2 linked regions of the Saccharomyces cerevisiae S288C genome follow. The main gene of each other region encodes a partner of the protein of the gene in region 2 in a complex. Each region holds a gene or a part of one and is shown on either strand. Other genes may lie near its edges. The genes, in order: RFC4 and RFC1. A codon is read from its position in the direction of its gene.

Region 1 (3,922 bases), 610 kb from region 2:
AATCTGATGGACAATTTCCTTATTTGTATGCGAGTTTTCGAAAATGGACAGTAAATTTTCTATTATACTATCAACTGCTTTGTTTGTTAACGAAAATATAAGTATTTCTTCAGGCTTAATATTCTCCACAGTAATTAAATGTAGTACTTTATATAGTAGCGTTAGCGTTTTTCCTGAGCCTGGGCCCGCAATGACTTTTATCGTAGACGCTGGTTCATATGACTTATTTATTACCTTCCATTGAGATGGAGTTAGCTTGTCCATCTGTCTTCAACGAACGACGTATACCTTCTCTATATTTTTTCTACATATTATGACTATGTAACTGCACTGCGAGTTGTAAGTTTTGATCAACAAACAACTTTAAAGCTTAAATTGTGCAAAAATGAAAAAAAAAAAAAAATTCTGACACATCACAAGGGAAGAGACAAGACAAAGAAGTAGAATTTAAAGTAATGCACTAATATGGGAGTTTTTTTTATAGTTTTCGGATATTTAAATCAGGCTTTATTATTTAGTTTATGAATTTTCGCTAACATACTAGCCAGTTGCAAGTACGTTCCAACACCCTCCAGAATTCTCATATGGGTCAAACCGATTTCTTTTATCATTTCCAATCTTACTGATTCTTTCACTTGTGCTAAGTTTTTGGTAACGCGGAAAGATGTTGTGACGATATCAATCGAGGAATAACCCTTTTTCCAAAGATCTGTTCTTAAGATTTGAATTGAATCTTCTAGGTTGGAGGCTAGTAACATTTTCTTCACTATTAGAGGGTGAGGAGAATCAACAATTTTGAAGACATTGTCTGCGTTCACTAAACCGTGTCCTGCTACTGTACTTTGTAGATTGTTTATGGCCTGTCTCATGTCACCCTCCGCTGTAAAAATGATTGCTTCTAACCCATCATTTGTATACTTAACATCCTCTAGCTTTATGATTTGTAAAAGACGTTTTAGAACGTCTTCATCGGATAGTTTAGAATACCTCAAAATCGCACATCTACTTTGCAGCGGCTCAATGATCTTGTTTGATTGATTACAAGCAAATGCAAACCTTGTAGAGTTCGAATATAGCTCCATGGTCCTTCTCAACGCTTGCTGAGCACCAGCAGTCATGGAATCCGCCTCATCAAGAATAACGATTTTATGTTTCCCTGGAGGCAAATGTAGTTTCTTCTGGGCAAAATGTTTTATTTGGTTTCTGACGACATCAATACCTCTGTCATCTGAAGCGTTCAACTCTAAAACACCGTCAGCATAAGAGCGGCCAAGGAGCTCGTGAGCAAGGCAATGTACCGAAGTGGTCTTACCTATACCTGGCATACCTGATATGATCATATGGGGCATGTTACCATCTTTAGCGATTTGCTGAAGTCTATCAATGGTCTCTTTATTACCGACTATATCAGATAAAACTTGGGGACGGTATTTCTCAACCCATGGAAGTTGCAAAGATAAAGTTTTGGACATTATAAGGGACTTTTTATATCTTCTGGGAAGCTCTGCAATGTTATAATAGATCCAATCAGATTTATAAATGCTACTATTTTACAGTATTTAAAATATGTGGTTGGTTTTCCCACCTTTTTGTCAAGAAAAAACGCGTTTAATCTAACAGTGTGATGTGGTAATGAAAAATTTTCATTGTCTTTAAGAGAGATGGTGATGTTTAATATAGCGTAAAGCTTTCAAGGTAAATAATTAAGTGTCAATCTGCAGGCAAAACAACATGTCCAATGATGAGATAAACCAGAACGAGGAAAAGGTGAAAAGAACACCACCTTTACCGCCTGTGCCAGAAGGCATGTCTAAAAAGCAATGGAAAAAAATGTGTAAAAGACAGAGATGGGAGGAGAATAAAGCCAAATACAATGCGGAACGCCGTGTAAAGAAGAAGAGACTTCGCCATGAAAGAAGTGCGAAGATTCAAGAATACATTGACAGGGGAGAAGAGGTCCCGCAGGAATTGATTAGAGAGCCTCGTATCAATGTGAATCAGACTGATTCTGGGATAGAGATCATACTTGACTGTTCTTTTGATGAGTTAATGAACGACAAGGAAATAGTAAGCTTGTCTAACCAGGTCACCAGGGCATACTCCGCGAATAGAAGGGCGAACCATTTTGCAGAAATAAAGGTGGCCCCATTCGACAAAAGACTAAAGCAAAGGTTTGAAACTACTCTGAAAAATACCAATTATGAAAACTGGAACCATTTTAAATTCCTACCAGACGACAAAATCATGTTTGGAGATGAGCATATAAGTAAGGACAAAATAGTGTATTTAACGGCCGATACAGAGGAAAAGCTGGAGAAGCTGGAACCCGGGATGCGATACATTGTTGGCGGCATTGTAGACAAGAATCGTTATAAAGAATTGTGTCTGAAGAAGGCCCAAAAGATGGGCATTCCTACGCGAAGATTGCCCATTGACGAGTACATCAATCTCGAAGGCAGAAGAGTGTTGACGACAACGCACGTCGTGCAACTCATGCTGAAATACTTTGATGACCATAACTGGAAAAATGCCTTTGAAAGCGTTTTACCACCCAGAAAGCTGGATGCGGAAGCAAAATCCGCAAGCTCTTCGCCAGCTCCAAAGGACACATAGGCAGCCATCACTGTAGTATTATTAGTAACTGAATAGCAAAATAGTAATAGTCTCCGTAGCTACAATAGGTGTATATTGATGTCAGAGATACGGGTTAAACATGCGCAACTGGTAGTAGTTCTTCAAAGGGTGTTTATGCTTATCATAGTACTTGGACATTAGCCGCCGAAACTGGCTCCACTCGAAATCTAAATGGCATTCCCTTTTTAATATTAACAACACCAATCTTAGTGTCCGAGAGGTCCAAATCTAATGTAGGGCCGTGGGAGGATACTTCTTATTTCTCTTTGCTTATTTTGCTTTGATGTTGTATGTGTTTTACCTGTAAATTCTCTAATATGGTCATTTTTGCTCTTAATGACTCTTTTATTTTTACCCGGATTGCAATTTTTCACATATCGTCTTTTTATTCACTACGTACTTTAATCGTCTTCGCGATGATATGTACTGCTAACGAAAGAATGCCATACAAAAAAAAAGCTACCACATCGCTCGACGACCTCAATTATGCAACTTGTGCCGCTAGAATTGAATAGATCCACTCTAAGTGGGATATCTGGGTCCATCTCCATCTCCTGCTGGATCATTGTGTTTGTCCCTCAAATTTACGAGAACTTTTACCGGAAGTCGTCTGATGGGCTGTCTTTATTGTTCGTGGTACTTTGGTTGGCCGGCGATGTCTTTAACCTTATGGGTGCCGTTATGCAACATCTTTTGTCTACCATGATCATTCTTGCTGCTTACTATACGGTGGCAGATATCATTTTACTAGGTCAATGTCTATGGTACGATAATGAGGAAAAACCAGCAGTAGACCCTATTCATCTCTCCCCTGCCAATCCAATAAACGAAAACGTTCTGCACGATGTGTTCAATGAACAACAACCGCTTTTGAATTCCCAAGGTCAGCCAAATCGTATTGATGAAGAAATGGCTGCTCCTTCATCCGACGGAAACGCTGGTGATGATAATCTCCGTGAAGTCAATTCAAGAAATTTGATAAAAGACATATTTATTGTTAGTGGTGTAGTTTTTGTAGGTTTCATCTCGTGGTATGTAACCTACTGCGTAAACTACACGCAACCTCCTCCCGTGGAGGATCCATCACTGCCTGTTCCCGAACTGCAGATCAATTGGATGGCTCAGATATTCGGTTACTTAAGTGCCCTTTTGTATCTGGGTTCAAGAATTCCTCAGATATTACTGAATTTTAAGAGAAAGTCTTGTGAAGGTATCAGTTTCCTATTCTTTTTGTTCGCCTGTTTGGGTAATACCACATTTATTTTCTCTGTGATTGTCATTTCTTTAG
Region 2 (4,775 bases):
TTGATCAACTGAATCTATTGGGATTGACGAACTATGACATGCACATTTTTCCAGACTCTGATCATTCCATCCGGTACCACAACGCTCAAAGAATTGTATTCCAAAAACTATACTATTGGTTAAGGGATGCCTTTGCTGAACGCTTTGACAACACTGAAGTTTTGCATTTATAAAACTTTATGGATGATTGCGATATTAACGATAACGATAGAGACAAACACGCGATTAATAATATAATAATATGAAGTTTCTCAATTGCAACGCATAATTTTGGAATGACATATTAGGTACAAATGTTAGACCTAATAAATGTAATATTTAACGACGGTTGTACGTACAGGTACATTATTTTGTGTACTATACTAATAAGAGTATTTTATATAGGGCGGTGATGATACCCATCGAGCTATTATCACCACACAGTTTTCGTATCTGTGATAGAACGGCTCACAAAATCAATGAGAAGAAAAGTGTAATTATAATCTTAGTGTATGAATAAATCATGCTTTCGTTTTCCTTTTTTTGCTACCACCAGGTTTACTGGTGGCAGTCTTCCTCTTCGTAGGTTTGGCTTTCTGCTTGATAAGTTTATCCTTCTTCAAGTCTGTGCTACTATCTTGTGTTTCTTCATCATCTGCGGGAACTGGATTGTCATCTGCGTCAACGACATCTTCGAAATCGGGGGTGCTAGTACTGGTGCCAACACCACCACCACCAATAGTACTACCTGTTCTGTAAATTGCGACTGGATGTGTCATACTGTTGTATTTCCGCGTGAATCCACTTTTAACCGTAGCTGGTATCTTTTTGATAATGGCTGTGGTCACATCAGGACCTACGAAAAACTCCATAATAGAATCCCAGTCTTCTTTGGTCAAATAGTAATCGTCCATTACCTCTATGACAGATGAAATTGCATCAGCACCTTGCTTCAAAAATGGGTCCAATAATCTTTTTCTAAAAGTTGGTAGGTAATCCAGCCTTAGTCCAATTTTATCAGTAGATGTACCTAGTCTTGTATGATAATGTATCTCTTGCAGTAACCTATAATATTTGGCAGATTTAGAATTTTGGCCCAACCAAGCTGTGAAATTGATTCTTCCCGCCATATGGCCGGCAACTTTTGATGCTGGATAAACAGATGAAAGAACAGCATGCAAAGGCAAAAGACTCCATAATTGCTCACTACTACGAATCTTCTTTTCGACAATATCACCTAATGAAATACAGTTAGCCGCCTCAGCAACTGCTTCCAAATGTGACTGGCCGGGTTTCAAAACGCTTGGTCTTGTAGATAAATAGTTTTCCTGAATCATTAGGGGTGTGAAATCAAAGTCATCAAAATATAATGCGATCTTATCATTCAGTGTAAAGTTCCTTGAACCTATGTCTGAGTATATTTGTCCATCCAACATTTTATGGGCAATGTCAAAGGGTTTTAGGGCAATATTCTTTTCCCATGCCTTTGAGATCTCGTTGATATTTTCATGGTTTATGGTTTTAGTAGTCGTAGATATCGTTGAAAGTAGATTAATAACCTGGCGGATATCACCTCTTGTAGTCTGTATCAACCTATCAATGACATTTGGATCAAGTTTGAACTTTTCTCTGATCGCAATTGTCATTAATCTTGATTTGATACTGTTAGCATCAGGTCTTCTAAATTGGATATCAAGACATACTCTATCGAATGGTCTCATTTTTGGTAAATTACGTTCATTACAAATTAGAATCAATGGAGTTGACGTCTTACGACAAAACTGTGCCAGCTGGCCAACTCCCCCCCTATCGCCTCCGCTCATACCATCAACTTCATCCATGATAATGACAAAATGTTTCCCGTTCAAATTTTGAGCTTCTTCGTTGTGTTTGAAATATCCCACTACAGACATGTTATCAAGAGCGTTTTTAACACCGGCATTAAGTAAAGTTTTAGAGCGAACATCAGAAGCGTTTTGTTCAAGAATGTCATACCCAAGCTCTTGTGCAACTAAATGAGCAGCAGTTGTCTTCCCAATACCAGGAGGACCGTATAACATTGCAGCCCTGAAAACACCAGAGCCATCTTTACCAGCATGTTTAAAACTATTTTTCTTTGAATTTTCCCAATTAGCCAACCAGTTTTTTAATTTCATTACACTTCCTTTGTTACCACAGACCTGTTGTAGATTCGTTGGTGCGTACTTTACTGTCCACAATTTATCTTCTTCCCTAACCACATTGTCTCTCTCCAGATGGCCACCAGAAACTCTAGTGGCTGCAAGCTTCTTCGACCTTTCCTCTTCTTTCTTAACAAGCAATTCTGCTTCTTTGGTAGCAATATTATGCTGTTCTTCTAATTTTCGACGTGCTTTTTCGGCAGCTTCCCCGTCACCACCTTCAGCAGGCATCCCAGCAATTAATTGCTTAAAGCCTTCTTCGTCTATGGCTTTGATTTTCAATTGCTTGATTTTTTCTAGTTTCTTTGGCCCTGCTTCATCACCTAAGACTACTACAGAAGTTTTGCTTGAAATTGATTTAGTAACCCTTGCTCCGTATCTTTTCGCTAAAGCTTCCGATGCACCACGCTCCAAGGTTGGCAGAACACCTGTGAAGACAATTGTTAGACCTAATAAACAATTTGGCTTTCCTTCTGGAAAACTACCTATTTCAGAAACAATTTCATCTGGATCCGCATTTGAATTTGCGCTTTTGAAATCAAATTTAGCATTCTCTTTCACATGAACATTTGACAGATCCAAGGATGGAATCTTATCTAGTACATCTTGAGCCGTAATATTCGAAGCCGAGTCTGAACTTTTAGAGGAGGGTTTGGTTTTTTTTGAACTTGCTGGCTTTACAGTTGGTGAAGAGGCCTTCCTCTTAGCGGGAAGAGGTAGCTTTTTTTCTCCTTCAGGTGTCTCTGATACATCAATTACATTACTTACAGGCATCTTCTTTGGTGTTTTATTGGTTGATTCTTGGTCAGATTCAGTATCTAAGTCGATAACTTCTGGTTTAGACGAACCCACCTGTCTCGTAGGTCTGGATGTTGACGATCTTACGGATTTCTTATTTTTACCAAAGAAATCAGAAATATTGACCATTTTCTTCAGCTTAGTTTATTATGAAGTGACTTGAAGTTATAAAATTAACTGCGAGATACCCAATTCCTTATTGTGTAAGGATCAAGCAGCGTATTCAACGAAGCCACTGTTTTCGCTGAGAGATCGGCTGTTCCTTCTCATGTTGATTTTTTTTTCAGTACTTCTTTTTGAATTTCGTGCTCATTTCGATACGAAAAATGGAAACAAACAGAAAGACCATTCATGAAGAACAAGAAAATCTTGTATAAACAGCTATATAGTAGATGCTTGTGTATACTTTCCACTTGATCCCCTCAAACAATTGCATTTTTTTTAATTAGAATGGGTAAAAATAAGAAGAAAACAGGTAAGAAGGCCAAGAGTCATCCTCATGTGGAGGACGTTGATGAAACCGTCAATAAACCTGAAGAAATCATCAATTCTGTAAACGTCACCGTTCCTCCAAAAATGTCCACAGATCCAGAGGCTGATGGTATCGTGGCAAGCCCGGACGATGAGGGGAAAGATCTCTCTGAAGGAGTAGACAAACAAAAAGTAAATGACGGCCTGACTGTAGACACCATAAATCCTTTAGAGGACAAAAAGGCTGGTGATGAGATGAAGGAACTAAGGGAAGAAATTGAACGTTTAAAATTGGAACTAAGCCACAAGAAGGATCAAGAAACGCCTAATGAAGACTTCAAAAATGAACTAGCAAATGTTATTAAGGAAAGAGACGAATTCAAAACACAGTATGACACATTATTGAGCAAGATATCTTCTATGAAATCAATTTTTAATAAGATGAAAGAAGCACAAAAACAATTAGAGGAAGTGCAGGAGCAGCTTACTGAATATGAATCACAAAATCTGAAATTGAAGAAGAAACTTGAAGCTACCAAGACCGAAAACTCTGAATTACAATCCACGATTGTGACCCTAAATACAGAGTTAGAAAACCTAGAAAAGGAGCAAGAAAGTACAGAAGAGGTTTTTTTGGAATACGAATCAAGGATAGAAGCTTTGGAAGATGAAAAACACGACATAATTGAAAAACATAGTAAGGAACTTAACACTTACAGGAAGGAAAAAGATCAATTAAATCTCCAAGTTCAGGAACTCATGATAATCTTAGAAAATAATAAACAAGATATATCTGACTTGAGAACAGAAAGAGATGAATTGAGACAGGCTTTGGAATCCCATGAAAAGGAGAAAGCAGTATTAAAGAATTCTCTAAATGATCTGGAATTGAAGATAGAAGAAGTTGACAACAAAAGGGAAGAAGAGGCTAGAGAGAGAGACCAGGAAGTCAAATCTTTACGATCCCAACTTGACACGGAGATAGAAACGCACAACAATGACACAGAAGCTTTAGAAAGCATGAAAAAACAGCTAGAAGCCATGAAGGAGGACGCCTCTATGAAGGAAAAATATGAGGAAGAATCTAAGCAGCACATCTTACAGATCGGAAAACTACGTCACGAAGCCATTATACTAAATGAGCATTTAACAAAGGCACTGGCCATGTTGAAGAAATCAAGCGATTCTGAATCCGTTGATAAAGAACTGATATCCAATCTATTGATATCTTTCGTGTCCATACCCAGAGCAGACCCAAGAAAGTTTGAAGTTCTTGAATTACTGTCCAATTTCTTAAACTGGGATGAAGATAAGAAACAACAGGCCGGCTTGATCTCGAATAATGAG

The links.
Region 1: the proteins of RFC1 (region 2) and RFC4 are in contact, whole or in part, in a crystal structure (PDB 1SXJ), measured with the Saccharomyces cerevisiae proteins. Residues at the interface, in NP_014860.1 of Saccharomyces cerevisiae: Asp295 (codon at 2,204), Lys296 (codon at 2,201), Leu297 (codon at 2,198), Val300 (codon at 2,189), Pro355 (codon at 2,024), Gly356 (codon at 2,021), Thr360 (codon at 2,009), His364 (codon at 1,997), Glu376 (codon at 1,961), Asn378 (codon at 1,955), Ala379 (codon at 1,952), Ser380 (codon at 1,949), Asp381 (codon at 1,946), Val382 (codon at 1,943), Asp424 (codon at 1,817), Glu425 (codon at 1,814), Asp427 (codon at 1,808), Gly428 (codon at 1,805), Ser430 (codon at 1,799), Gly432 (codon at 1,793), Asp433 (codon at 1,790), Asn456 (codon at 1,721), Asp513 (codon at 1,550), Arg515 (codon at 1,544), Gln516 (codon at 1,541), Asn519 (codon at 1,532), Thr526 (codon at 1,511), Thr527 (codon at 1,508), Thr528 (codon at 1,505), Lys529 (codon at 1,502); in NP_014547.1 of Saccharomyces cerevisiae: Glu28 (codon at 1,391), Thr29 (codon at 1,388), Arg32 (codon at 1,379), Gln35 (codon at 1,370), Ile36 (codon at 1,367), Asp39 (codon at 1,358), Asn41 (codon at 1,352), Met42 (codon at 1,349), Pro43 (codon at 1,346), His44 (codon at 1,343), Met50 (codon at 1,325), Ile86 (codon at 1,217), Arg90 (codon at 1,205), Lys94 (codon at 1,193), Pro105 (codon at 1,160), Gly106 (codon at 1,157), His108 (codon at 1,151), Gly122 (codon at 1,109), Gln125 (codon at 1,100), Ala126 (codon at 1,097), Arg128 (codon at 1,091), Arg129 (codon at 1,088), Thr130 (codon at 1,085), Glu132 (codon at 1,079), Ser135 (codon at 1,070), Asn136 (codon at 1,067), Arg139 (codon at 1,058), Asn145 (codon at 1,040), Ser147 (codon at 1,034), Asn148 (codon at 1,031).

Annotation. Positions count from the first base shown.
Region 1 is NC_001147.6:141,084-145,005, forward strand, and holds RFC4 (replication factor C subunit 4), read right to left. Parts: upstream 1,473-3,922; coding exon 501-1,472; downstream 1-500. Other genes in the region: HMI1 (ATP-dependent 3'-5' DNA helicase), read right to left, coding at 1-264; TRM10 (tRNA (guanine(9)-N(1))-methyltransferase), read left to right, coding at 1,732-2,613; YPQ1 (cationic amino acid transporter), read left to right, coding at 3,121-3,922. UniProt on the Saccharomyces cerevisiae protein: Component of ATP-dependent clamp loader (RFC and RFC-like) complexes for DNA clamps, such as the POL30/PCNA homotrimer and the checkpoint clamp DDC1:MEC3:RAD17 complex.
Region 2 is NC_001147.6:747,612-752,386, reverse strand, and holds RFC1 (replication factor C subunit 1), read right to left. Parts: upstream 3,087-4,775; coding exon 501-3,086; downstream 1-500. Other genes in the region: STE13 (Ste13p), read left to right, coding at 1-173; RUD3 (Rud3p), read left to right, coding at 3,408-4,775. UniProt on the Saccharomyces cerevisiae protein: Component of the ATP-dependent clamp loader RFC complex for the POL30/PCNA homotrimer DNA clamp.